7 linked regions of the Oryctolagus cuniculus genome follow. The protein of the gene in region 1 binds, or shares a complex with, the protein of each later gene. Links are inferred from orthologs where the notes say so. Each region holds a gene or a part of one and is shown in the gene's direction. Other genes may lie near its edges.

Region 1 (2,378 bases):
TGCCTGAAGACCTACACGGGACACAAGAACGAGAAATACTGTATATTTGCCAACTTCTCCGTGACTGGCGGCAAGGTCAGTGCGGCTCGCTGCAGGCTGCCCTGGGCCTCCTGGGTTTGCCCGGCTGGGTGCAGGCGCCAAGCGGGCCCGTGGGCGTGCCCGGGTGCCTCCAGTCTGGCTGAATATGGCCCTGTGGGCAGGGTGGGCTTGGGGCGCCGTCCCTGCCTGGGGGTGGGGCGGGGCGGGCCTGGGGGGCGTGGCCCGAGGACCTCCAGCCTGCCTGAGAGTGGTGGTGTGGGTGGGGCGGGCTGGGGGCGTGGCCCGGGCGCCTGCAGCTTGGCTGCGGGGGCGGGGCTTCTCCGTCTAGTGTCCCGCTCCTAACAGGGCCCGTGCACACGCGTGTGCGCCCACACTGCCAAGTGGCACAGTCGGGAAGTTCTTGCATGCATCCTGAGTGTGGGGGCCGGGGCGGGGCCTCTGCACGCGTGAGCTCTGACCTGCACGCGTGTGCTCCCCTCCAGTGGATCGTGTCCGGCTCGGAGGACAACCTGGTGTACATCTGGAACCTGCAGACGAAAGAGATCGTGCAGAAGCTGCAGGGCCACACAGGTGAGGCGCGGCCCGGCGGAGGCGGGCTTTGTGCAGGTCCCCTCGCGCCCCCGGGGCGCCGCAGACCCCGACCCTTGCCCGGGCCAGGGCCCTGGGACGTCCCGGGCTGCGAGGCGGCCGCGCTCCTCTGGGGTCGGGGGCGGGGTCGGCGTCCCTGCCCGGAGCCTGGGCACGGGCAAGGGGCGAGGCTGGCCCTGGGCCCTGGGCACGCGGGGAGGGGGGCGTGGTGGGCAAGGCCGGCCCCGGGAGCGGGGAGCGGGGCGGGCGGGCCCCCAGCGCGGGCCACAGCGCGTCCTTGCCCGCAGACGTGGTCATCTCCACGGCCTGCCACCCGACCGAGAACATCATCGCCTCGGCGGCGCTGGAGAACGACAAGACCATCAAGCTGTGGAAGAGCGACTGCTAGGGGGCGTGGCCGGGGCGTGGCCACCCGGGGCGGGGCGTGGCCGGGCGTGGCCACCCGGGGCGGGGCGGGGCGCCCCCGCGCGCTGTGCCCGCGCGGCGCCAACAAAGTTCTCGTGTGTCTCGAGGGTGACGTCCAGTTTCGTGAGTTGTGTCTTTGCGTAAACGTGCTGCACCTTTCTTGGTTTTTCGTTGCCCAGCGCCCCTGCTGCGACCACTCCCGCCGCCCCGCTCCGTCCCGCGCTCCGTCCTGGGGCTCCGTCCTGGGGCTCCGTCCTGGGGCTCCGTCCTGGGGCTCCGTCCCGGGCTCCGTCCCCGGGCTCCGTCCCCGGGCTCCGTCCTGGGGCTCCGTCCTGGGGCTCCGTCCCCGGGCTCCGTCCCCGGGCTCCGTCCCCTGGGGCAGCCGCGCCCGGCCTGGGCGTGGGCGGCCTTGAGGGCTCCCTGGGGACGCGGCCGGCGCGGGGCGGGGGCGGGAGTCGAAGGGTCTCCCCGAGGACGCGGGCCCGCGCTGCTCCTGGGCTCCGGTGTCGCAGGGCACCGCCCGGGACCCCTCCCCAGGCCGTGCTGCAGCCCAGGCAGCTCGCGGCTCCTGTGGGTGGGGGCCGCCCAGGGCGGGGCCGCAGAGGCAGTGGGGCCGCCCCCGCTGCCGGGCCTGGGACTGCGCCGGGAGAGGTGGGTGCGGGGGCTGGGCGCAGCGCCGGGGCGTCCCCGGGACCCGGACTCCGGCTCTGGTGGCCGCGGCTCCCTCGGGGGCTGTGAGTGGCCGTGTCCCGGATATAGTTTATTTTTTCTACATTTGAATTCTCTGTTGTAGATTTATGTAAAAATACATTTCTTTTTGAAATTAAAGATTTTCATGTCTTGTAATTTCGTCCTACAAGAATTCTTCTTTCCTTTTTGAGGTTGTTTCCTGGAAGGCAGAGTTAGGCAGACACGGGGGGGGGGGCTTGCACCCAGTGCTCAGGCCCGCGTGGGTCCCCTTGGGGGTGTCGGGGGCAGCAGCCCTGCGGCTTCGTCCTCCGCCTGCCGGCCCGGCCCCGCCGGACGTCCTTGGTGTGCGGAGACCTCGGCTGATGATGGACAGCGGGAGTGGGCGGGCCGAGGTGCGCCCCCGCAGCCGGAGGGACCCCTGCAGGAAGCCGAGCGCCGCGGTGTGGCCACCAGGTTTCGGTTTCTAGAACAATCCGAGGGGCGGAGAGAACCCATGCGCTCTGCTCGCCCCAAGCGCTGGCAGGCCGGAGCCGGAGATGGACATGGGCGCCTGGTCACTGTCCCCGCGGGGCCACAAGCGCCACGTGGCCAGGGCCCGCCCCACTCCGCGCCCGTGTCTCCCGTGTTGCCGGGGAGCCCCCCGCCCCCCGCAGCTG
Region 2 (3,500 bases), on another chromosome or scaffold:
ATTTGGATTTGGTAGTAATTAGATTTATTTCTGTCTTAGTACCTGCAGTGGGGGAGAATTTGCTTTTGGGATTGCTTATCTTATAGCCATTTCTCTCTCTCTCTCTCTCTCTCTCTCTCTCTTTCTCTCTCTCTCTCTTTTTTTTTTTTTAAAGAGATTTATTTATTGTTTGAAAGATTACAGAGAGAGGGAGAAAGATCTTTTGTCTGCTGTTTGACTCCCCAGATGGCTGCAATGACCAGGGCTGGGTCAAGCCAAAACCAGGAGCCAGGAGCTTCTTCCTGGTCTCCCACATGGGTGCAGGGGCCCAAGCACTTGCTTCATCCTCTGCTACTTTCCCAGGCACATCAGCAGCGAGCTGGATCAGAAGTGGAACAGCTGGCACTCATGCTGGTGCCCATATGGACTGCAGATAGCAGTGCCACAGCACTGGTCCCAAGATTTTCCTCTTTTCTTGTTGATTAGCAGACATATCCTTTGTGGATTGCTTGGCAAATAACATCTTGACTCTTGGGACTTCCCAGGTGGTAGTCTCCTGACTGGCCCAGAGGGACTTTTGGCCAAAGAACGTGAGAATTTGAAACGATTAAAATGTCTGCGGCGGTATCGCCAGCGCTATGGAGTCGAAGCGTTACTACACAGGCAGCTGAAGGAACGCAGAATGCTAGCCACAGATGGGGCCGCTCAACAGGTGATTTTACGTAGGGGTGGGGGAACCTTTTTTTCTGTCAAGGGCCATTTTGGTATTTATAACGTCATTTGTGGGCCATCCAAAATTATCCAGTTAAAAATTAAGTCTGCTGTAGGTTTACTCAATTTTGAGTCCCACATATAGTTGCCTTGACAAGGCCAGACCAAATGATTTAGTGGGTGCTATTTAGCGGCCAAGTATTCCATATTCCTGCTTTAAGGTATATATATAGCCCCTTTATTTATGAAGTTTGGAGTGTTGTCAAAATACTATATCCAATCCTGGCTCTGTAATCTCACTCACTAGACTTAGATTGTAATGAAGGCACCTAACCAAGATGTCAGGAGACATGGGTTCCAATCTTAGTCCCCTTCTGACTACTCCTGTGATCACATAATAGCTTAACTTATCTGCAGATTTATTATTTGGGATAGATCTCTAATCTTCAGTTCAGAAGTAAGCATAGGTTAAGCCTAACTTGCTTGACAATCTTGTTATAAAGAGTGGGAAAATAGAACAGAAGCAGTTGAATGTAAGGAAGTTAGGTTTATAAGAAGTGATTTTTTTTTTTTTTAAGATTTATTTACTTATTTGAAAACCAGAGTTAGAGAAAGAGAAGACAGGTCTTCCATCCATTCGTTCACTCCCCAAATAGCTGCAATGGCCGGAGCTGAGCCAGTCCAAAGTCAAGAGCCAGGAGCTTCTTCCAGGTCTCCCATGTGGGTGCAGGGGCCCAAGGACTTGAGCCATCTTCTGCTTTCCCAGGTGCATTAGCAGGGAGCTGAATTGGAAGTGGAGCAGCTGGGACTCAAACTGGTGCTCATATGGGATGCTGGCACTGAATGGGGCAGTTTTACCCACTGTGCTACAGCGGGTAGATGTGCTACAGTGCTGGGCCCATGATCATTTTTTTTTTCTTTTTGCCAGGCAGAGTTACACAGTGAGAGAGAGAGAGAGTTATAGACAGAGAGAGACAGAGAGAAAGGTCTTCCTTCTGTTGGTTCAGCCCCAAATGGCCGCTACAGCTGGTGTGCTGCACCAATCTGAAACCAGGAGCCAGGTGCTTCCTCCTGGTCTCCCATGCGGGTGCAGGGCCCAAGCACTTGGGCCATCCTCCACTGCCTTCCCAGGCCACAGCAGAGAGCTAGACTGGAAGAGGAGCAACCGGGACAGAATCCGGCGCCCCAACTGGGACTAGAACCTGGGATGCTGGCATCGCAGGCAGAGGATTAGCCTAGTGAGCTGCGGCGCTGGCCCGTGATCATTCTTGAATTTGTTATTTTTTAAAAAAATTTTATTTTTGATTTTATTTGCAAGACAGATATCTCCCATCTGCTGGTGTTCACTCTCCAAATGGTTTGAACAGCCTGGGCTGGGTAAGGCCGAAGCCAAGAGCCCAAACCTCTTTCTGAATCTCCCATGTGGGCTTGGGGGACCTAAACACTTAAGCCATCACCTGCTACCTCCCAGGGTGCAGATTAGCAGAAAGCTGGAATTGGAAGCAGAGTGGGGGATACAAACCTGGGCACTGCAGTGTGGGGTGTGGGAAACGCAAAAGGTGTCTTAATTGCTATGTCAAATGCCCACCCTCTGCATTTTTTCTTATGTGTAATATTGGTGTATTCATTTATTAGATGTTGAATTTTCTACCCTGTGAAGATGTACTTTATAATTCTTTTCATCATAATTGGTTGTATGTTCTTTGAAGAGTTTATCTAATTTTTCCATTTTAGGCGCATACCACTCGTTCTAGTCAGAGGTGTTTGGCCTTTGTGGATGATGTTCGCTGTTCCAATCAGTCTCTTCCTATGACCAGACACTGCCTTACTCGTATCCTTTTACTGTGTTCAGGCTGTGATTTGCTTGCTAGACTGAGAGCTAGTGGGAATCTGCTGGCTTGTTTAATTGAAGCTCCTTGTTTACTTTGGCCCTGAATCAAGACCAGCAGTGTGCTGAAGCTGTTGGTTTCAAGCAGGAGCCTAAAGAAATGTCTTTCTATGGTCTGTTGACCATTTCAGAACTTCTGAAATGTAATGGTCAATTCATTGGGAAGAAACAATGGAGTTGTTGGTGATAGATGTGGGCTAATATTTATTTTTAGTCGTTGTACTGGGATTCTAAAATATTTGTATTTATCTTTGGATTCTTGATTTAACTTGTTCATCAGATTATAATGCTGTAAAATTATGATTAGCAAAAAAATGTGAATGGTGGGTTTTCTACCCAAAACAAAATGATGATGTTGATATTGCATTGTGAACTTCCATTATTATAAATTTGTATGATCAAGACTCTTATGTATTTTAAACTTCATTCAAATTAGTAACAATGGTTCAAAAAATAAGATGCTGTTTTTTCTTCGTAAATTTAACTTGCCTTTGAACTGCCCATAACATCTCTTGATTCTACTCTAGAACTGTATTTATCATTGGGCTGCAAAACTTTTTGAATTGTTTATTGTGAAAATACATATTTTTTTAAAATAGTCTTTTTTTTTATTATTAGACAGGTAGAGTTACAGACAATGAGAGAGACAGACAGAAAGGTCTTCCTTCTGTTGGTTCACTCCCCAAATGGCCGCCACGGCCGGCGCTGCACCAATCCGAAGCCAGGAGCCAGGTGCTTCTTCCTGGTCTCCCATGTGGGTGCAAGGGCCCAAGCACTTGGGCCATCCTCCACTGCTTGGGCCACAGCAGAGAGCTGGACTGGAAGAGGAGCAACCGGGACTAGAACCCGGTGCCCATATGGGATGTTGGCGCTGCAGGCGGAGGATTAGCCATGTGAGCCACGGCCGGCCCCGAAAGTACAT
Region 3 (3,500 bases), on another chromosome or scaffold:
GTTAAGCTGCTATAACAAAGATCCCTAAAACAGAGACTCAACCAAAATGGCAGTTTCTTTCTCACATAATGAATGGTGGAGGGATAAGCGAAAGTCTAGGCCAGGTAGAAGTCCTCTCTCCAGAGATTTGGGGACTTGGTTTCCTTTTATTGCTCTGTGTGGTCTTGGGATCTGCATGATAGAAGGAAACTTGAACCTTGACTCTGCCCCAGCACCTAAGAAGGAGGAAGAGAAAAGAAGGGGAGGGCGAGCAGTTTCACAGACACAGCTGACTGCAGTGGAGGCTGGCCAGGTGGCTGGGTGGCGCTGTGGCCTGCCCAAACTGGGGAATGGGGTGGGTGTGAGAGGAAGAGGGGAAGATGGATATGGAAGGCAGTTAGCAGTTGCTTTGCCATTATCTGTTCAGGTGAACTGCATCTGTTGACAGCCCCAGGTGGGGTATCAGAGATTGGCTGTTCCCTCACATTTTGTAAGATAGGAAACTTTACCCCGTATGAACCCAGCTAGTCTGTTCTTAATGAGGTGCTAGATTGACTGAAGTAGGTGGACAGTGGTCCCTGTGAGGGGCTGCTTGTCAACTCTGTTTCTTTTCCTTTGAGGATTCCTTCAGATGGTACTCTCTCATTGAAATGCCAGTGCCTCTGGCCCTGCACCATAGTCTCTAACCTTGTCTTTCTAAATCCTGGTTTAAAGCCTTCATCTTTATAAAAGTGACTTTGTTTGCACTGGAATTAAATCAGACTCATGGCAATTCAGAAGAGAGCATAGGGAGATCCTGTTAATCATTATGCATGGAGGAAAGCTCCCGGAAAAGGGACAGGGGCCGTTGTGTCTTTGTACCCTGGATAGTCTGTGCAGTCACGGGCTCTGGGTTTTCATTGTCAGATATATTGTTCCCAAGGGGCCTTGTGCAGTTTTGTGCACAGGCAAACAATAAAACTAGGAGTCATTTCAGAGTATCATTTTAAAAGTGATAGCTATGCATACTTTCTTCATGATTGACAGGGCTAACAAGGGGTGGTCAGGGTCATCCTTGTCAGGAAGAGTAGTTGGGATTCTAGGTTGTAGCTGGGAAGGCAAAAACTCTAGTACAAAAGAGGCAAAGACTTATAGTTTTTGTATAAAGAGCAGATCTGAACTATGGCTCATGAGCTCCATGTTAACATATTTCAGATGGCAGTGGCCCTAGAAGTTAGCAAGACAACCCCATTTCTCCTGCACCATTCTGATTACAGAGGTGTGTCTCGGCTCTGGGTTCAGGCTCTGATACCCTTCCTGGAGGTGGCCCAGGGACTCTGGCTGCCTTGGTACCAGTTGCTTCTTCTCCTTCCTCTGTGGGTAGGAGTGGAATGGGAGAGCCGTGCAAGGCTAGCTGCACACCTGGGGAGTAGAACTTGGGGTTATGCCAAGTTGCTGCAGCCTTTGCGCTCATGGGCAGTTGCATTTCTGCAGCTAAGAGGCAGGGGTACTTCTGTCTAGGAGCTGCTGGCGAGCAAGCTGCTGCTTTCAGTGTTTATCTCTGGGGGTCACGAAGGCACTGTTGGCCGTTCTGCCTTGGGATGGTTCTTCTCCATATGGGGTTGCCTGAACATGACAGGATTCTTAGTGTCCCTGGGTTCTGTGAACTAAATGCTGGTATCACCCCTCAGGGTTGTGACAACCAGGAAGGCCCCGCATTTTCTCAGTACATTACTTTTTTTTTTTTTTTTTAAGATTTATTTATTTATTTATTTGAAAGTCAGAGAGAGAGGGAAAGACAAAGAAATAGAGATCGAGAGAGATCTTCCTTCTGCTGATTCACTCCCCAAATGGTCATGATGGCCAGCATTAGGCCAAGCCAGAGCCAGGAGCTTTTTCCAGGTCTCCCACATGCGTGGCAGGGGCCCAACACTTGGACTGTCTTCAGCTGCTTTCCCCAGGGCATTAGCAGAAGGTGGATTGGAAGTGGAGTAGGTGGAACTTGAACTGGCACCTGTATGAGGAGCAGGGAGCAGCTTTACCCGCTAAGCCACAGCAGTGGCCCCTCAGGACATTCCTAAATGAACCAAATGTGAATCACAGCTCTCTGTCCACCTGCTTGTGCCTGAAGGGCACTCCTGCCGCCCACCCTCCCTCCTTTCCATCTTCCTTTTGTTTAATGATCTAAGGTTGTAGTAAAGATTCTTAGTGGTAGAGAAGAGTTAAAAGCTGGAGTTTACATAAAGTAGAAATTTTTAAGCCTGGAGATTGGCTCTCCCTTTTGCTTAGCGAATGGTGGGCTTTGACCAGCTGGCCCAGGTGGGAACTGAGGAGCTCTGCCGTCGTGCCAGTTAGCAAAAAGCCTTTCCCTGTCTGCCCTCCCAACAGAAGCAGGGAGCACCCCGATCTGCAGCTGTGGTGCCAGCCTTGGAAACAGCACTCTGGGGAGGGGAGAGTTCAGTCCACGCACATCCGCATCGTGGACACCAGGAGCAGGGAAGAGGCCCCCAGCTATAGAACTTTGAACGGGGCAGTGGAGAAGCCCCTGCCCCGCTCCATGGAGGAGTCGTATATCACCAGCGAGCACTGCTACCAGAAACCCCGCGCCTACTACCCTGCTGTGGAACAGAAGCTGGTGGTGGAGACGCGGGGCTCTGCCCTGGACGATGCAGTCAACCCACTCCACGAGAACGGCGACGACTCCCTCTCCCCTCGTCTGGGCTGGCCTCTAGACCAAGACAGGAGCAGGGGCGACAGTGACCCCAAACCCAGCTCCCCAAAGGTATGTGGCTCCTCGTACTTGTTCTTCCTCAGTGTTGGAGTGCTTGTGTCTTCTCCTGGTAGGTTACCTGTTCTGTGCAAGATAGTCAGCCAGAAAACCGTATTTAAATCTGTTTAACATGCACATGTTTTCTATTAAATGAATGCAAAGTCAAGAGAGCTCACTTAAGCTAACGATTGTTGGTTCCAGAAAACACCCACAAAATGGTGTGGTTGGTGAGGTGGGAGTGGAGAGGTGGGAAGCTGCCAGGAGTTCCAGAAATGGAACCAGGGTGGGGACACTCCGTTTCCTTCATAGTTGCACCTAGGTGCTGATTCTTAGTGGACAGTGAGTCAGGTGTTTGGTTAGGCCTGGTTTTTTCAATATAGTTGTGTGACTGACTTACTTTTCTTTTAACTTTGCAGCCTGGTCATAACAAGGGTCCATTTTATTAAGATATTTGCAGATTTCCTCTGTTTTCTCCAGAGCCACTTTTTTTTTTTTTTTTTTTTTTTTTTTTTTTGACAAGCAGAGTGGACAGTGAGAGAGAGAGACAGAGAGAAAGGGCTTCCTTTTGCCGTTGGTTCACCCTCCAGTGGCCGCCGTGGCCAGCGCACCGCGCTGATCCAAAGGCAGGAGCCAGGTGGTTCTCCTGGTCTCCTATGTGGGTGCAGGGCCCAAGTACTTGGGCCATCATCCACTGCACTCCTGGGTCATAGCAGAGAGCTGGCCTGGAAGAAGGGCAACCGGGACAGAATCTGGTGCCCCGACCGGGACTAGA
Region 4 (3,500 bases), on another chromosome or scaffold:
TTTCGATCACATGGTGTATCAGAGAGCAAGTGTCTTCCAGACGCATCCAGGAAGTGTCTGAGGTATTGTGATACTTCCTTTAAAACAGGCTTTTCTTTTTCAGAATGAGTTTTCAATCTTTCCAGTAAACTTTCATCCCATTTTATCCATATAAGCACCATTATTTGGTTATCTGAAGTAGAATAACAGTCATGATATAAAGAAAAGAGATGTTGCTTTAGATTTAGGATTCTGCCATGGTTCCTAATAAAAAAGAGTTTTATATTCTAGGTTTTAGCCCCAGCCTTTCTAAGTGTATTAACAAAGTTTTATTAACCAAGCTTTGGATGGCTCTGGTACTTGCATTCCAGTTACTTGAAGTAATAGGAGTAATTGTATTAGTAGCAGCTAACATCTGTCAAATGTTTACTGTGCACCAGGCCCTATGCTAGGCATTTCACCTGGATTATGTCTTGGAACTCTTATGACCAACTCATGAGGTACTGTTATTTCCATTTATTGAAGAAACGAAGGCTTGAAGAGATTAAAGAGCAAGTAAATGTTAGAGCCAGTTCATCAGGGAAGGCCATGTGTTACTACAGTACTTTGAGGCTAGAGGGCTACACTTGGACTCTCCTCTTTACTAGCTCTGTGATTCTGTTCAAGTTTCAATTTCCCAAGTCTCAAGTTGGTGTGAAGATTAAGTTAGAGGTAGTGTAAAAATGTGGCTCAGTGCCTGGCACACAGAAATCCCCCATAAATGGCAATTTCTGTTGTTCTGCTATTATTGTAGGAATGATCTTGAGCATTCACTCCCTCTTCCTGTTTGAAGTCTGAGACTTGAAAGCTATCATCTACTACCCACAAGAAGTAGCTGTGTTTCTTAACATAGCCCTGTGGGTGTAAGTTCAACAATTCTTTCCTTTTAACAGTGGAAACCATGTTTGAAGTGAAATTTTATGTGAAGCTACAAACTACAAATAGGTCATAAGTGGAATTACTTTGGTTGACATTTGATGTGCCACTTATGAATGGAGCCCAGGACTCCCAATATTTGGCACTGACTTTGCTCTTCAAAGTCACCTCGTAGTGTCCTGAGGCTCTGTGTGACACGGTTGGAAACCCGTTGTTACGGTGACCTTTGTGAATGTGGAGAAAGCATCCCACAACTCTTAGGTGCATGTAGAGATGGATGCTGAATTTCAGTTACCTTCTGCTGGTGGCCTCTGGCAAGTATGGGATAGAAAGTGGTGAGTGGGCACTTTTGTTTAATTCTGATTGGTTCTGAAGGAACAGCTTATGCTTATGGCCCTTGTGACTTTGAAATAGATATGAATTAAAAAACCCAGAAAGCAAATATGACAGTAGTCAAATTGCTTTTTTAAAGTGGAAATATGAGTATTATTTGTGCTTTTCTGGTTCCCTCCTCTCCTCCAAATTTCGTAAAGGTAGAACAGGAATAAAAATATTTCAGTTAGTATCAACAAAGGGATTTCAGACTAGGAGAACCCTGCTTTTGCTCTTGGAAAAATAGCTGTGAAAGCAGTTTTGCAAAGAAAACCAAGAAAAGCCAAACAGGAATCCCCGTAGCTCTGCTGCATTGTCATTGTGGTCATCGTATTTTCTATGCCTTCAGGTGCCAGGACCTACGATCACTTGAAGAAGACACGAGAGGAGGAGCGTCTGAAACGCACCATGCTCTCCGAGGTTCTGCAGTACATCCAGGACAGCGGGGCATGCCAGCAGTGGCTCCGCCGGCAAGCCGACATGTGAGCAGTGCTGTGAGCTCCTCCCTGGTGCTGTGAGCGCACCGGTGCTGTGGAGCCCCTCTCGGGCACCCTGCATGCAGATGACTGCAGTCCCCTCAGAAACAGGGCAGTCCTAACAGTTCTGAGAAGTAGAGCTGGCTTCCTGGGATTCCCCCTTGCTACGTTGCTCTTACTTTTAAAAATGAGTGGGTTTCCCTAGCCTCCCACCTGGGCCCTCTCCGCCTGGATATCCATGGTGTGATTCCCATTGAGAATCGTCCTGCTAACCCTTCCCCGTGACGATATCAGTGGCGTTCCAGGGGTAAGAGCTCTCAACAAATCCAGGGCTCCTTTTATTTTCCCTCAGAACAGATTTTCCTTCCCGGTCAGTGTAGTGAGATACCCTGGAAAACATGATGTCTTCAGAGTGACCCACCTGAGGAATGGTCCCCAACCCCATAGGGACTTTGGAAGTTGTCTTTTGACCTGAGTCTAAATTCCTCTTCCTCACTACAGTGATTCCGGCCTGAGTCCTTCTGTTCCAATGGCTTCAAATTCAGGTAATTATTTCTCAGGCTGGAAATAGTCTTGATGGTAAAGTCTGCATTATGGGGGTGATGATGACCCCAAAATCCCACCCAGTGTAGACCAAGGCACTCAGGCAAGTCCAGTTTGTAAACATCTGCAGGTTTCTGGAACCTTCCCTGGGCAGAAAGGAGTGTCCTCAGGGTGAGAGGACAGAGACAGAGGAAGGAAGAACAGTAGAGAAGGTAGCTTCCTTATTTTACCAGTGTCAGCGGGCAGTCAGTTTATGGCACTTGTATCTGCCACACACTCTGGAGATTTGTCTTGCAGGAGATCAAAGGTTTGTATCCAGTATGAGCAAACAAACTGTGTTACTTGCCAGAAACTTGAGGATTTCTTTTCTTTTTTTGACACGCAGAGTTAGAGAGGAGAGAGAGACACAGGGAAAGGTCTTCCTTCTTCCGTTGGTTCACCCCCTATGGCCAGTGCTGCACCAATCCGAAGCCAGGAGTCAGGTGCTTCCTCCTGGTCTCCCATGGGGTGCAGAACCCCAGCACTTGGGCCATCCTCCACTGCACTCCCTGGCCACAGCAGAGAGCTGGCCTGGAAGAGGGGCAACAGGGACAGAATCCGGCGCCCCGACCGGGACTGGAACCGGGGTGCCGGTGCCGCAGGCGGAGGATTAGCCTAGTGAGCTGCAGCGCCTGCCGAGGATTTCTTTATAAATAAGAAGCTTAAGGTTTTTCTGTTTCTTTGCTTTACCTCGCTGGGTATGTCCTATTTTGAAATAAGTTTGTAGAGCAGGATTCAGCTGGCTGCTATCTGATGATCTTGGTGTGTAGTGATCAATGACTAGGAATTTGGAAAGATTATAGTTATAAAATTCTGACCCAAGATCATTGACCACTTGTTTGTTTATTTAGGATTTATTTATTTATTTGAAAGGCAGAGTTAGAGATCTTCCATCTGCTGGTTCACTCTGATGGCCAGAACCAAGAACTTCAGCCAGGTCTCCCATCTAGGTGGCAGGGGCCCAGACATGTGAGCCATCTGCTGCTGCTTTTCCCAGACCATTAGCATTGAGCTGGATTGGAAGTGGAGCAACCAGGACACAAACCAGTGCTCGGACGGGATGCTAGCATCACAGGCAGCAGGCTTCCCCACTTCACCACAACACTGGCCCCTTAGAGTGCTTTGCACGTTCTCTTGGTGGTCATCTGCCCCTGCTCCATATGCTAGATTGGCCAT
Region 5 (3,500 bases), on another chromosome or scaffold:
GTGAGAGACCCAGAAGTAGCTCCTGGCTTCTGTCTTTGGCCTAGCCAAGCTGCCAGTTGGGGAGTGAACCAACAGATGGAAGATTGTGTGTGTGTGTGTGTGTGTGTGTGTGTCAGACCACCTTTGAAGTAATATAATTTTTTTAAGATTTGTTATACATTTGAAAGAGTTACAGAGAGAGAGAGAAATCTTGCATCTGCTGGTTCACTCCCCAAATGGCCACAAAGGCCAGGGCTGGGCCAGGCCAAAGCCAGCAGCCAGGAGCTTCTTCCGGGTCTCCCACCTGGGTGCAGGGGCCCATGGACTTGGACCATCTTCCACTGCTAACCCAGGGGCATTAGCAGGGAGCTGGGTCAGAAGTGGAGCAGCTGGGACACAAACCAGTGCCCACATGGGATGCCGGTGCTGCAGGCAGCTGGTTTACCTGCTATGCCACAGCGCCAGCCCAGCAAAGAAAATGAATAAATCTTTTTTTTTTTTTTTAAGAGAGAAGTCAAATGAGATGGGCACAGAAACGTGGCCGAGTTTTGAAAGATGAGCAGAATTGCTCAGTTTGGGGATGAGGAGACCCCGGAGAGCCTCCTGGGGCTCAGGCTGCTGCTGTCCTCACAGGGGCAGAGCTGTCCTGTGTCTGCCCCCCACCCCCACCCTCACTGCCGGTCTCTGAATTTCAGATCCTCACTGACTGGCAGGACAAGAAAGGTGACCGACGGTTCCTCAAGCTGGGTCGAGACCACGAGCTGGGAGCTCCCCCCAAACACGGGAAGCCCAAGAAGCAGAAGCTGGAGGGAAAGGCGGGACACGGCCCCGGCCCCGGGCCCGGCCGGCCCAAATCCAAAAACCTTCAGCCCAAGATCCAAGAATACGAATTCACCGATGACCCAATCGACGTGCCACGGATCCCCAAGAATGATGCCCCCAACAGGTTCGGGGCCAGAGAGCGGGGGGGGGGGGTGCTCAGGCAGTGGAGGTGCTGGGCGCCCAGGGCAGGAGCTGGGGCGACCCCGGACCCCCACCCAGGATCTGCCTCTCCCACAGGTTCTGGGCCTCGGTGGAGCCCTACTGCGCTGACATCACCAGCGAGGAGGTGCGTACGCTGGAGGAGCTCCTAAAACCCCCTGAAGACGAAGCTGAACATTACAAGGTACACACTCTGGGCCTCCATAGACCCGGTGCAGAGCGAGAGAGCTCAGGGTGCCTCGGGTCCACGTTACTGCGCTCCGCCCACCCTGCCAGCCCCTGGGCGCCCCACGACCCCGGCAGGCACCCAGCTCCAGTGCTCAGCGGTGTCCCTGCGCCACCTTCCGGGACCCCAGCCGGATCTGCACTTCCTGCCCTGTGCCCTCACCTCCATCCCCTCCGCTCCGGCTCAGCACTGTGCTCCTGCCTCTTATTTCCACAGGGGCCTCTGTGTTTCTTTAGGACAAAAACCAGACATCAAACGTCGCCCGCTAAAGAGAATGCAGAGGCTTGGGGGTGGGGTGGGGAGGCTCCTGCAGAGGTTGCCTGTCACGAGCAGGTGTTTGTGACCTGGTCCTGCGCCCAGGCCTCCCCGGGCTCCCGTCAGGCACAGCGGCGACTTCAGGCGTCTGCCCCACTCCCCCTGCAGTCTGCTGAGCCACGACCCTCCTCAGCCTGTGTGCTCAGCCACCAGGCACACTGCCCTCCCTCCGGGCTCGCATAGGGTCCTCCGATCCCAAATGCCCATTCCCCGAGTGCCCCTTCCGATCGCCTAGCAGGAAGCAGGTCTCCCTGCGGCAGCTGCACACCTCGGTCGGCCCCTTACTTCACTCACCTGAGGGGCAGGCTGTGCTGTGGCAGACGGCATTCGGCAGATACGCGGCCCCTTGTCGGTTTGCTTCCAGTCCCAGCCCTTGTGCTTCCAGTCGGCCTCCTGCTGACACATGCGGGTAGGCAGCGGAAGTACCTGGGCCCTGCCAGCCACGTGCAAGACCTGGACGCACTTCCTCGCCTAGGCCTGGCCTGGCCGTTGCAGGCATTCTGCCTTTCAAATTGGTAAATAAACAAATCCTTTAAAAAAAAATGAAACAAATAAGCCAGGCAGTAGTAAATTCAATCAATGCAGAGGGCAATTTCCACACACCCCCCCAACCTTTAAAACCCCTGCTTCTCTGGAGCTAGCAGCCGTGACCTGACCGTCTCGCCCTGATGGATTTTTCCGGATTGTCTCCTCGTGTTTCACTTCTTTGTACGTCTGTGTGTCCTGCTCGAGCTGGAGTGTAGATCTTGCCTCCCTCGGCCCTTCTCATGGGACCCGGCACTGGCCTTGACCCTGTACCACAGGCGTGGGAGACGGACAAGCGAGTGCACAGCAACGCCAAGTGCACAGAGAGGCCCCTCCCCCAGGCACGGCCGGCTCGTCCGCCCCGCTCAGGGCCCCGCTCAGGGCCGGCTGCTGTCGCCCCGCAGATCCCGCCCCTGGGGAAGCACTACTCCCAGCGCTGGGCCCAGGAGGACCTGCTGGAGGAGCAGAAAGACGGGGCCCGGGCTGCAGCCGTGGCTGACAAGAAGAAAGGCCTCCTGGGGCCCCTGACCGAGCTGGACACTAAAGGTAGGCCCCTCACGTCCTCGCCCACAGCCGCCCCGAGCTGCGCCCCAGAACTCCGCCCTGCCCTTCTCTCCCCTGCCCACTGCAGACGTGGATGCCCTGCTGAAGAAGTCGGAGGCGCAGCACGAGCAGCCGGAAGACGGGTGCCCCTTTGGCGCGCTGACCCAGCGCCTGCTTCAGGCCCTGGTGGAGGTGAGCACCCCAGCCCCAGCGCCGGCCTCTGCCTTCTCCCCGACGTCTCCGTTCGTCTGTAGCACACGCTCAGACGTACACTGATCACGGCGCACCGCAGACGAGCGTCGGCTGCCGTCCTGGAGGTGGCCAGACGAGAGTTCATGTCCAAGAGGCTGCACTCGCCCCTGCCGGACCTGCGCTCCCCTAGAGGCAGCCGCTGTGCCACTTCCCGTCGCTAGGTCTTGGCTGAGGTTTTCCCACGCCTGTCCCCAGAGGAGGCCAGGAGAGTGGGGAGCCTGGGAGGGGCTGCTGGCTGGAGGTCCCCCAGAGGTAGACCCCGCTTCCTGAGCTGTGCTGTGACGTCCCTGGCCGGCCTCAGCCGGCTCCTGAGGCTGACACGCGCTAGTTCATTTCTCTCCTGTAGCAGCCTGGGGCACACGCTGCAGGTGCACTAAGGTGGGGTACAAGAAGGCTTCCTCACGCCATCAGACAGGCCCCCCACGGATGGTAACCGTGTCCCCTGCACAGGGTCGCCGAGGGCCCCCCAGAAAGGAGCAGAGAGGAGTGTGTAAAGGGGCTCTCTGGGCCACGACCAGCTGTGGCTCTCTGAATCTCTCCCTGGCTGCGGGGGAGGCTGGGAGGTGCAGTGTGGCTGGGCAGGCCCCCGAGCAGCACTGGGGAGGAAGGGAGAGCCTGGGCTCGGACAGCGGCAGCCTGTGCCGCGTCCTCCACAGCGCGCTTCTGTAAACCCCCCATT
Region 6 (3,994 bases), on another chromosome or scaffold:
CTCGGGGGCGAAGCCCTGCGCGTCCATCTTCATTTGGAAATCGTCTGCGGCCCGGCCATGGTCCTGCACAGCGGCCGGGTGGTCCCTCAGCAGCTGCACCGGCAGTGTGGCCACCTGATTGCGTTCAGCGAGGGCCACACTGGGACTCCTCGACGCCACCTGGTTCCCGTTGGAGAAACTGCTGCCGACCCGCTGCATCCAAGTGAGCAACTGCTCTTCAGGGGCACGAGGCTCCGAACGCAAGGCCCGAGCTCGGCCAGGCGTGTGGACTCCAAGGAAACGGGAGCGGGGTCCTCACGAGGCCCCGCGCGGCTCCCCCGGGTCGGGTTGGGTCGGGTCGGGTCAGGCGGGGGCAGCTCATTCCCTTTGACTTCCGCAAACTTCGGCTGGGTCCGGGGTCAGCTCTGCCCGTCCTGCCTCCAGGAGCGGGCTGTCAGTTGCTCAGGAGCACCCGCTATACTTTTACCCTGGCCCTGCCCTTTCTCCACCACGGCACAATGGAGCCACTGAAGAGGCTGGACGCCGGGAGCAGACACTCGGCAGCCACCGACCGGCCAGGGGCAGGGAAGCCCATTGCTGGCAGAGACAGCGGGCGGGGTCCTCCAGGTCCTCCATCGCGGCGTGCCCTGCTTCTCCCTGAGCACACGCACGAGGGAGGCGGGCACATCCCTCCCTGTCCTCGGGGTCTGGGGCCACAAAGATGATGGCGCGGGCATCCCGCGTCCCAGTGGTTTTCCTTGTCGCTGCTGCGACCACAGCCGCGCCCCTGGAACTCTGTGTTTTGATACTAAATTCTCTCCGTTGAAGGATAACAAAGTGCACAACGCAGTACAGGTGGATGGTACACAGCGCACGCCCGGGGTAGCCACCGAAGCTCAGAGCTTCGGCCACGTCTCAGCCCCTGTGCGGCTGCAGCCCCGCGTCTGGGCCTCACGGGATGGGGCCTCGGCCCCCGTGGGGGGCGCCTATTTCCTGGGATGCACCTCCCTGTCCCTAAGACGGCAGCAACCGGAGCCGTCCCGGACGCCTTCCAGATAAATTGGGAGCCAGGAAGTCTGGGGTGCTAGCTGGGGCTCCCCTTGGCTGCCTGGTACCAAGAGAAAGGACGGAAAAGTCTGGAAGCTGGAGGCCAGGGGCGCGGCGGTGGAAGACTACAACTCCCGTCGTGCGTCGGGCCTGTGGCGCCTGCGCACTGCGCACCGGTTGCCCATGCGGCCCTAGGGCTGGGAGCGCGGCGCCGCTCCGCTGCGGGGGAGGCCATGGCGGAACCTTCTCAGGCCCCGGCCCCAGTCCCGGCTGCGCAGCCCCGGCCCCTTCAGTCCCCAGCCCCTACCCCAACTCCTACTCCTGCGCCCAGCCCTGCTTCAGCCCCGACTCCGGCTCCCACTCCGGCACCAGCCCCCGCCCCGGCTGCAGCCCCAGCCGGGAGCACAGGGACTGGAGGGCCCGGGGTAGGAAGTGGGGGAACCGGCAGCGGGGGGGATCCGGCGCGACCTGGCCTGAGCCAGCAGCAGCGCGCCAGCCAGAGGAAGGCGCAAGTCCGGGGACTGCCGCGCGCCAAGAAGCTTGAGAAGCTAGGGGTCTTCTCCGCTTGCAAGGTGGGGGCGGGGCCTAGGGTGAAAGGGGCGGGGCTTGAGGGCATCCCTGGGCTCGGGTGGGAATGGGGGGCGACGCTCTGGACGCTTAGCGGCCCCTGCCCCTGGGGTGCGGGGGTCGTTGACTTATCTCCTGCCTCCAGGCCAATGAAACCTGCAAATGTAATGGCTGGAAAAACCCCAAGCCCCCTACTGCTCCCCGCATGGACCTGCAGCAGCCTGCTGCCAACCTGAGCGAGCTGTGCCGCAGCTGTGAGCACCCCTTGGGTAAGGCAGGCAGCGCCCTTGCAGGTGGTGGGCGCCAGGTGCTGGGGCCTGCTTGGACAGCCTGATTTCGCTGCCAGGAAACCTCGTCTCAGGACCTTAGGAGGTGTGGGGTTGGGGGCAGGCAGGCCGAGAGGGAGGAGAAAGGGAAAGTGCCAGCCGGGAAGATGCGGGGCCACCTTTGGAAGTCTTGGCTCCCTGCCGAGCAGGGCGTCCATGCCTCCCCACCCCGCGGCCCGGGCTGGCTGTCTTGCAGCTGACCACGTGTCCCACCTGGAGAATGTGTCAGAGGATGAGATCAACCGGCTGCTGGGGATGGTGGTGGATGTGGAGAATCTGTTCATGTCGGTGCACAAGGAGGAGGACACGGACACCAAACAGGTCTACTTCTACCTCTTCAAGGTGAGCTTCCGCGAACGGGCGTGAGTGGGGGGCAGGGGGGCTCTCAGTTCTGATGCTCCCTCCCTCCCTCCCTCCCTCTTCCTGCAGCTCCTGCGCAAATGCATCCTGCAGATGACCCGGCCTGTGGTGGAGGGGTCCCTGGGCAGCCCCCCGTTTGAGAAGCCTAATATTGAGCAGGTGGGGTGGGGCACGGGGAGCTGGGTCCTCCCTCCTGCTCTAGCTGAAAATCAGAGGGGATCAGCCGGGGGCGTGTGTTCTGTGCTGACTGCAGAGTGGGGTGGAGGAGGGGGGGCACTTTGTCACGAAGCTGGCTTCTTAGCCCTCCTCCCTGGATTTGTTCCCCACCCCACCCCTTCCCAGGGTGTGCTGAACTTCGTGCAGTACAAGTTTAGCCACCTGGCTCCCCGGGAGCGACAGACCATGTTCGAACTCTCCAAGATGTTCCTGCTTTGCCTTAACTACTGGAAGCTGGAGACGCCCGCCCAGTTCCGGCAAAGGTCCCAGTCGGAGGATGTGGCTACCTACAAGGTCAATTACACCAGGTAGGCCCTGCCCGGGCGGGGGCTGGGGGGGGATTTGTAGACCTCCCCATGTGCTCTCACCCTGCTGTCCCCACCCCCAGGTGGCTGTGTTACTGTCACGTGCCCCAGAGCTGCGACAGCCTGCCTCGCTACGAGACCACTCACGTGTTCGGGCGAAGCCTCCTCCGGTCCATTTTCACTGTTACCCGGCGGCAGCTGCTGGAGAAGTTCCGAGTGGAGAAAGACAAGCTGGTGCCGGAGAAGAGGACCCTCATCCTCACCCACTTCCCCAAGTAAGGCTCGTTCCGGCCCACTGCGAGTTTGCCCCAAGTTCACGTCCTCCCTGTTGTCCCCTTTTTTCCAGGAAGCCTTCCTGGATTGGTCCCTCCTCTCCCTCCATGGGCCTTCTGGGATCTGGGCGTCTACCTGGCAGACTTGCCCATGGCCCAGAAGCAGCTTGCTAGTAGTTGCCTTTGCACGGCCTAGTCTGGGGATGGCAGGTACATGGCCCCGGCTAACGCTGCCCCTCCCACACCCTGCTAGGCGTTACTAATTGTTTCCCATGGGGGCCTGGACCCAGCCTCAGAATCCCTCCCACCACAGAGCTCCAAGAAGCCAGCGCTGACACCTGAGGTGACAGCAGTGTCCGCCCCGCGCTAGTCCTTTCTGTGCCAGTGTCCCCCCGTGTGCCACACCTCTCTCCCATCTTAAGCCTGGCTCGTGACTTCTCTGTTCAGAGAGCCTTGGCTGTCAAATCCGGGCCCCTGAGTGCCCCTGCCACCAGGTGGGAACAGGAGGTGGTGAGTTGGGGTGGATTCCTAGTCATCTTGATGCTGCGGGGAGCAGGGGGACCCAGGGGGACGTGGTGCCCTGCCTGGCTACGGGGTTGGTATTTAGCTCGGGCCCTGTGGCCCTGTGCTGCCCGAGATGGCCAAACTGGGCCCCTTTGCTTGGTGTGTCCGAAGCTCTCACCTTGCATTCGAGGCTCCCGGGAGCCAGGGGGCCGTGCCTGCCCCTGTGGCCAGGGCTTCCCGCAGGGCAGAGCTTGCTCTCAGACGCGCCTCGCAGGGTCTGTCTCTGGCCACGGCACAGCCGCAGCCCCCCGGGGGCCCGGCCCAGGCCGCCTTTGGCGGGAGGGCGGAGTCGTGGACAGACGGCGCCCTCCCCCCAGGTTCCTGTCCATGCTGGAGGAGGAGATCTACGGGGCCAACT
Region 7 (3,500 bases), on another chromosome or scaffold:
ACACGGTGAAGCCCGCCCACGTCCTGCTGCCCCGTCCTCACAGGAAGAGCGCTCGAGGAGTGAACACAACTTAGTGAACATCCAGAAGACCCACGAGCGGATGCAGACGGAGAACAAGAGTGAGTCCTGGGCGTGCACCGAGAACATGGCTGCGGCGGCCCTGGAGGGGGCTTCTGCCTCTGTCTGCGGGGTCCACAGCGAGCTGTGCCCCGGGCTGCAGGGACGGTGTTCCCTTAGGCTGGGTGACCCGGGGGTGGCGACAGTTCACAAAAGAACCGACAGATCCCTCCACTGCGGGGATGGGAGGTCAGGGAGATGAGGCTGCAGCCAGGGAAGCTGTCGCTGTCGCTGTCGCTGGGAAAGCCGGCGCCCTCTGGGGGTGGGGGCCTCCTGGGGAGGGGTCCCCACGAGTCGCCTGGTTTTGTGCACGCTGCCTCCTGCGTGTATTTTCTGCTGTGTGTCACGAGACGTGGGAGCTAGAAGTGCTCCCCTGGATGTGGTGATGGCTTCTGGCCCTATGGAAACGTGGTCTTGAACGTGACCACTGCTGGGCGCGTGGTGCGGGGGCGTGGGGCCCGGCCTCTCTGGATGTCCCAGGTCTGAGCCTGGTGGCCCTGCAGCAGTGCCAGCCGCTTGCGCACGCCTCCACCCCGTCACTGTGTCCACAGTTTCTCCCTACTACCGGACCAAGCTGCGGGGCCTTTACACGACCGCCAAGGCCGACGCGGAGGCCGAGTGCAAGTGAGTACAGCCTGCTGGCCTCGCGGGACTCCCGCCTTCCCCACAGTGCCTCCTAAGCCCCCCTCGCCCCCGGAGTCCTGCTTCCCAGATGGGCGCTGAGCTGCTCCGGGGCCATCTCCTCAGCCCAAACTCAGTGCCCACCACGAGCAGAGGCCGCACGGCTACCTCCAGGGTCGTGAGCGTCATGTGGGCCAGGCAGGTGTGGCCTGACGCCAGCGCTCTTGAGGAAGAGGGAGACGCCCCATTGTCCCAGCAGTGTTCGCTCCCACCCGGCCTTGCTGGGCTGCTGGTGCTTTCCCGAGCCCCTGGGAGCCCACAGCGCTGCTGCCTGCTCCTCCCGTTCCAGATGGCGCGGGAGAGAGGTGGGGCCCAGGCCCTGGGCAGCACCCTGGTGGCTCAGCAAGCGCAGCTCCAGCCCTCACAGCAACCCAGAAAGTCCCAGAGGGATTTTTTTTAATTTTGTACTTTCTAAAAGGTCATCCTAATCAAATAGTGAGGCTACGAGTTTGTATAGTTTGGGATCGTTTTAAAGAGCCCACACCAGAGTTAGTCCCTTAGTAGTGATCAGGGGAGGGGATGGTTGGAGCTTGGGCCATGCTACACACCAGGGCTGGTCCTGGAAGTCCACCCTCAATGGCCCGGGCAGGTGCAGTGGGCCTCCTGGGGGGTGGGGGGGACCTCCCCTGAGGGTCAGAGCGGGAGGTCATTCTAGATTGCCCAGCACCTTAGTGGTTGTGAGAGGAAGACGGTTGCGCGCAGTGGAGCTGCAGCGTTCCAGGGAGTGGGACGTGGCACTGCTGGAGGCCCACAAGGCCGGTGACAGGCTCTGATAAGTTCTGCAGAAACAGTTTCATTTAACTCTGTTTCAGGACCTTGCTTGGCAGTGAAACACAGACGTACAGGTGCCTTTGTGGTTTAATGGAGACTGTTATTGATGTAACTTCTTTATTTTGAAATGATTTCAGACTCATAAAAGCAGTGTTCTACCACATTGACTTTTAAATTTTTATAACCTGCTTTGACTTGAAAGGCAGAGAGAGAAGGACAGCGACAGGGAGCAATTTCCATCCACTCGTTCACTTGCCAGAAACGTCTGCAACAGCCAGGGGTGGGCCAAGCCAAAGCCAGGAGCTGGCAACTTAACCCAGGTCTCCCACATGGGTGGCAGGGACCCAACTACCTGAGCCCTCACTGCCGAACCCAGGGTTTGCGGTAACAGGAAGCTGGAATTGAAAGTGGAGCCCAGGCTCCAGGTCGTCCCACCCAGGGTGAGGTGTCCCAGGTGGTGGCTTAACTGCCGCACCCAACACATGCCCCATTCGCTTTTTCATGCACTCTACAAACGTGCATTATTTTTTTGAATGAGTTACATGATGTCCCTTGATCTCGGGTTCTTCAGTCAGTGTTTCCTAAAAATAAAGGCATCCTTGTGTAGCCAGAGTTCGGTTGTCAACATCACTGGCACAGTGAGCTGAGCAGTCATTTGTGATGCTGGTATCCCCGGTCAGAGCGCCAGACGGAGTCCTGGCTGCCAGCGCCCCACTCACGTGTCTGGGAAAGCAGTGGATGACTGCCCGAGTGTCCGGGCCTCTGCCACCTACATGGGAGCCCCAGATGGAGTTGCAGGCTCCTGGTGGTGCAGAAATTTGGGGAGTGAACCAGCAGATGGAAGGTATCCCTATCACTCTGCCTATCAAATAGTATTTTTTTAAAAAACCAGGACATTAACACTAACATGAAACTATTAACTACATATCTTTCATCTTTCTTTTTTTTTTTTTTTAAGTTTTAAGGTTTTTAATATTTAGTGAGAGAAATGCATAGGAGAGCAGGGCTCTATCTAAAAGCGAGAGGGTACTCTGGATTCAGACCAAGCACCAGGAGCCAGCGTGGAGGAGCACGCAGCCCAGAAAGCATGGGGCGGGGGCCCCGAGGCGCGGGGGCAGCACAGGTCCACAACGATGAAAAAGGGGGAAAGGGCCCACCATGTCCCAAGCCTTTAATCCACTTCCAAAGGGGAGTGGTCAGTTAGTCTGATTGGCAGGTGGGTGCACAGTTGTGGCCGGGTTAACTACATATTTTACTCAGTTTTTTTAAGATTTTTATTTATTTATTTGAAAGTCGGAGTTACATAGAGAAGGAGAGCCAGAGAGCGAGGTCCTCCATCCACTGGTTCACTCCCCAGAAGGCTGCAACGGCCAGAGCTGCGTTGATCAGGAGCCAGGAGCTTCTTCCGGGTCTCCCATGTGGGTGCAGGGGCCCAAGGACTTGGGCCATCTTCCACTGCTTTCCCAGGCCACAGCAGAGAACTGGATAGCAAGAGGTGCAGCCGGGACTAAAACCGGCGCCCATATGGGATGCCAGCACTTCAGGCCAGGGTGTTAACCCACTGCGCCACAGCACCAGCCCCCATATTTTACTCAGTTTTCATTGTTCACTGATATTCCTTGTAGCAAATAGCAAAAGCCTTTTTTTTTTTTTTTTTTTTTTTTGCTTGCTTGTTTGTTTTTTTAAATTTGAAAGGCAGTTTCAGAGAAAGAGATCTCCATCCACTGGTTTACTTCCCAGGTGGCTTTAACAGCCAGGGCTGGGCCAGGCCGAAGGCAGGAGCTTCTTCCAGATCTCCCACTTGGGTACAGGGGCCCAAGCACTTGAGCTATCCACTGCTTTCCCAGGTACATCAGCAGGGACTTGAACCAGCACCCTATGGGATGCCAGCATTGCAGGCTGCAGCTTTACCCACAACACTGGCCCCTAAA

Evidence for each region.
Region 2: WDR5 (region 1) and KANSL2 share a complex: the UniProt entries of both Homo sapiens proteins name them as parts of the NSL complex. The link is inferred for Oryctolagus cuniculus from reciprocal best matches to the Homo sapiens genes WDR5 and KANSL2.
Region 3: WDR5 (region 1) and PHF20 share a complex: the UniProt entries of both Homo sapiens proteins name them as parts of the NSL complex. The link is inferred for Oryctolagus cuniculus from reciprocal best matches to the Homo sapiens genes WDR5 and PHF20.
Region 4: WDR5 (region 1) and TADA2A share a complex: the UniProt entries of both Homo sapiens proteins name them as parts of the ADA2A-containing complex. The link is inferred for Oryctolagus cuniculus from reciprocal best matches to the Homo sapiens genes WDR5 and TADA2A.
Region 5: WDR5 (region 1) and TADA3 share a complex: the UniProt entries of both Homo sapiens proteins name them as parts of the ADA2A-containing complex. The link is inferred for Oryctolagus cuniculus from reciprocal best matches to the Homo sapiens genes WDR5 and TADA3.
Region 6: WDR5 (region 1) and KAT2A share a complex: the UniProt entries of both Homo sapiens proteins name them as parts of the ADA2A-containing complex. The link is inferred for Oryctolagus cuniculus from reciprocal best matches to the Homo sapiens genes WDR5 and KAT2A.
Region 7: WDR5 (region 1) and SGF29 share a complex: the UniProt entries of both Homo sapiens proteins name them as parts of the ADA2A-containing complex. The link is inferred for Oryctolagus cuniculus from reciprocal best matches to the Homo sapiens genes WDR5 and SGF29.

What each region holds. Positions count from the first base shown.
Region 1 is NC_091432.1:235,840,181-235,842,558, forward strand, and holds the end of WDR5 (WD repeat-containing protein 5), read left to right. Parts: coding exon 1-75; intron 76-521; coding exon 522-609; intron 610-914; coding exon 915-1,015; 3' UTR 1,016-1,878; downstream 1,879-2,378.
Region 2 is NC_091442.1:52,169,477-52,172,976, reverse strand, and holds part of KANSL2 (KAT8 regulatory NSL complex subunit 2), read left to right. Parts: intron 1-524; coding exon 525-691; intron 692-2,424; coding exon 2,425-2,521; intron 2,522-2,615; exon of another isoform or gene 2,616-2,752; intron 2,753-3,500. UniProt on the Homo sapiens protein: Non-catalytic component of the NSL histone acetyltransferase complex, a multiprotein complex that mediates histone H4 acetylation at 'Lys-5'- and 'Lys-8' (H4K5ac and H4K8ac) at transcription start sites and promotes transcription initiation.
Region 3 is NC_091442.1:22,308,899-22,312,398, reverse strand, and holds part of PHF20 (PHD finger protein 20), read left to right. Parts: intron 1-2,346; coding exon 2,347-2,740; intron 2,741-3,500. UniProt on the Homo sapiens protein: Methyllysine-binding protein, component of the MOF histone acetyltransferase protein complex.
Region 4 is NC_091448.1:38,178,675-38,182,174, forward strand, and holds part of TADA2A (transcriptional adapter 2-alpha), read left to right. Parts: intron 1-1,615; coding exon 1,616-1,748; intron 1,749-2,243; coding exon 2,244-2,287; intron 2,288-3,500. UniProt on the Homo sapiens protein: Component of the ATAC complex, a complex with histone acetyltransferase activity on histones H3 and H4. Required for the function of some acidic activation domains, which activate transcription from a distant site. Binds double-stranded DNA.
Region 5 is NC_091441.1:116,925,846-116,929,345, forward strand, and holds part of TADA3 (transcriptional adapter 3), read left to right. Parts: intron 1-674; coding exon 675-925; intron 926-1,038; coding exon 1,039-1,144; intron 1,145-1,795; exon of another isoform or gene 1,796-2,430; coding exon 2,431-2,572; exon of another isoform or gene 2,573-2,657; coding exon 2,658-2,761; exon of another isoform or gene 2,762-3,500. UniProt on the Homo sapiens protein: Functions as a component of the PCAF complex. The PCAF complex is capable of efficiently acetylating histones in a nucleosomal context. The PCAF complex could be considered as the human version of the yeast SAGA complex.
Region 6 is NC_091448.1:20,670,952-20,674,945, forward strand, and holds the start of KAT2A (histone acetyltransferase KAT2A), read left to right. Parts: upstream 1-1,194; 5' UTR 1,195-1,259; coding exon 1,260-1,598; intron 1,599-1,738; coding exon 1,739-1,862; intron 1,863-2,115; coding exon 2,116-2,261; intron 2,262-2,348; coding exon 2,349-2,438; intron 2,439-2,621; coding exon 2,622-2,803; intron 2,804-2,883; coding exon 2,884-3,075; intron 3,076-3,953; coding exon 3,954-3,994. Other genes in the region: HSPB9 (heat shock protein beta-9), read right to left, coding at 1-198. UniProt on the Homo sapiens protein: Protein lysine acyltransferase that can act as a acetyltransferase, glutaryltransferase, succinyltransferase or malonyltransferase, depending on the context.
Region 7 is NC_091450.1:7,527,553-7,531,052, reverse strand, and holds part of SGF29 (SAGA-associated factor 29), read left to right. Parts: intron 1-43; coding exon 44-119; intron 120-668; coding exon 669-741; intron 742-3,500. UniProt on the Homo sapiens protein: Chromatin reader component of some histone acetyltransferase (HAT) SAGA-type complexes like the TFTC-HAT, ATAC or STAGA complexes.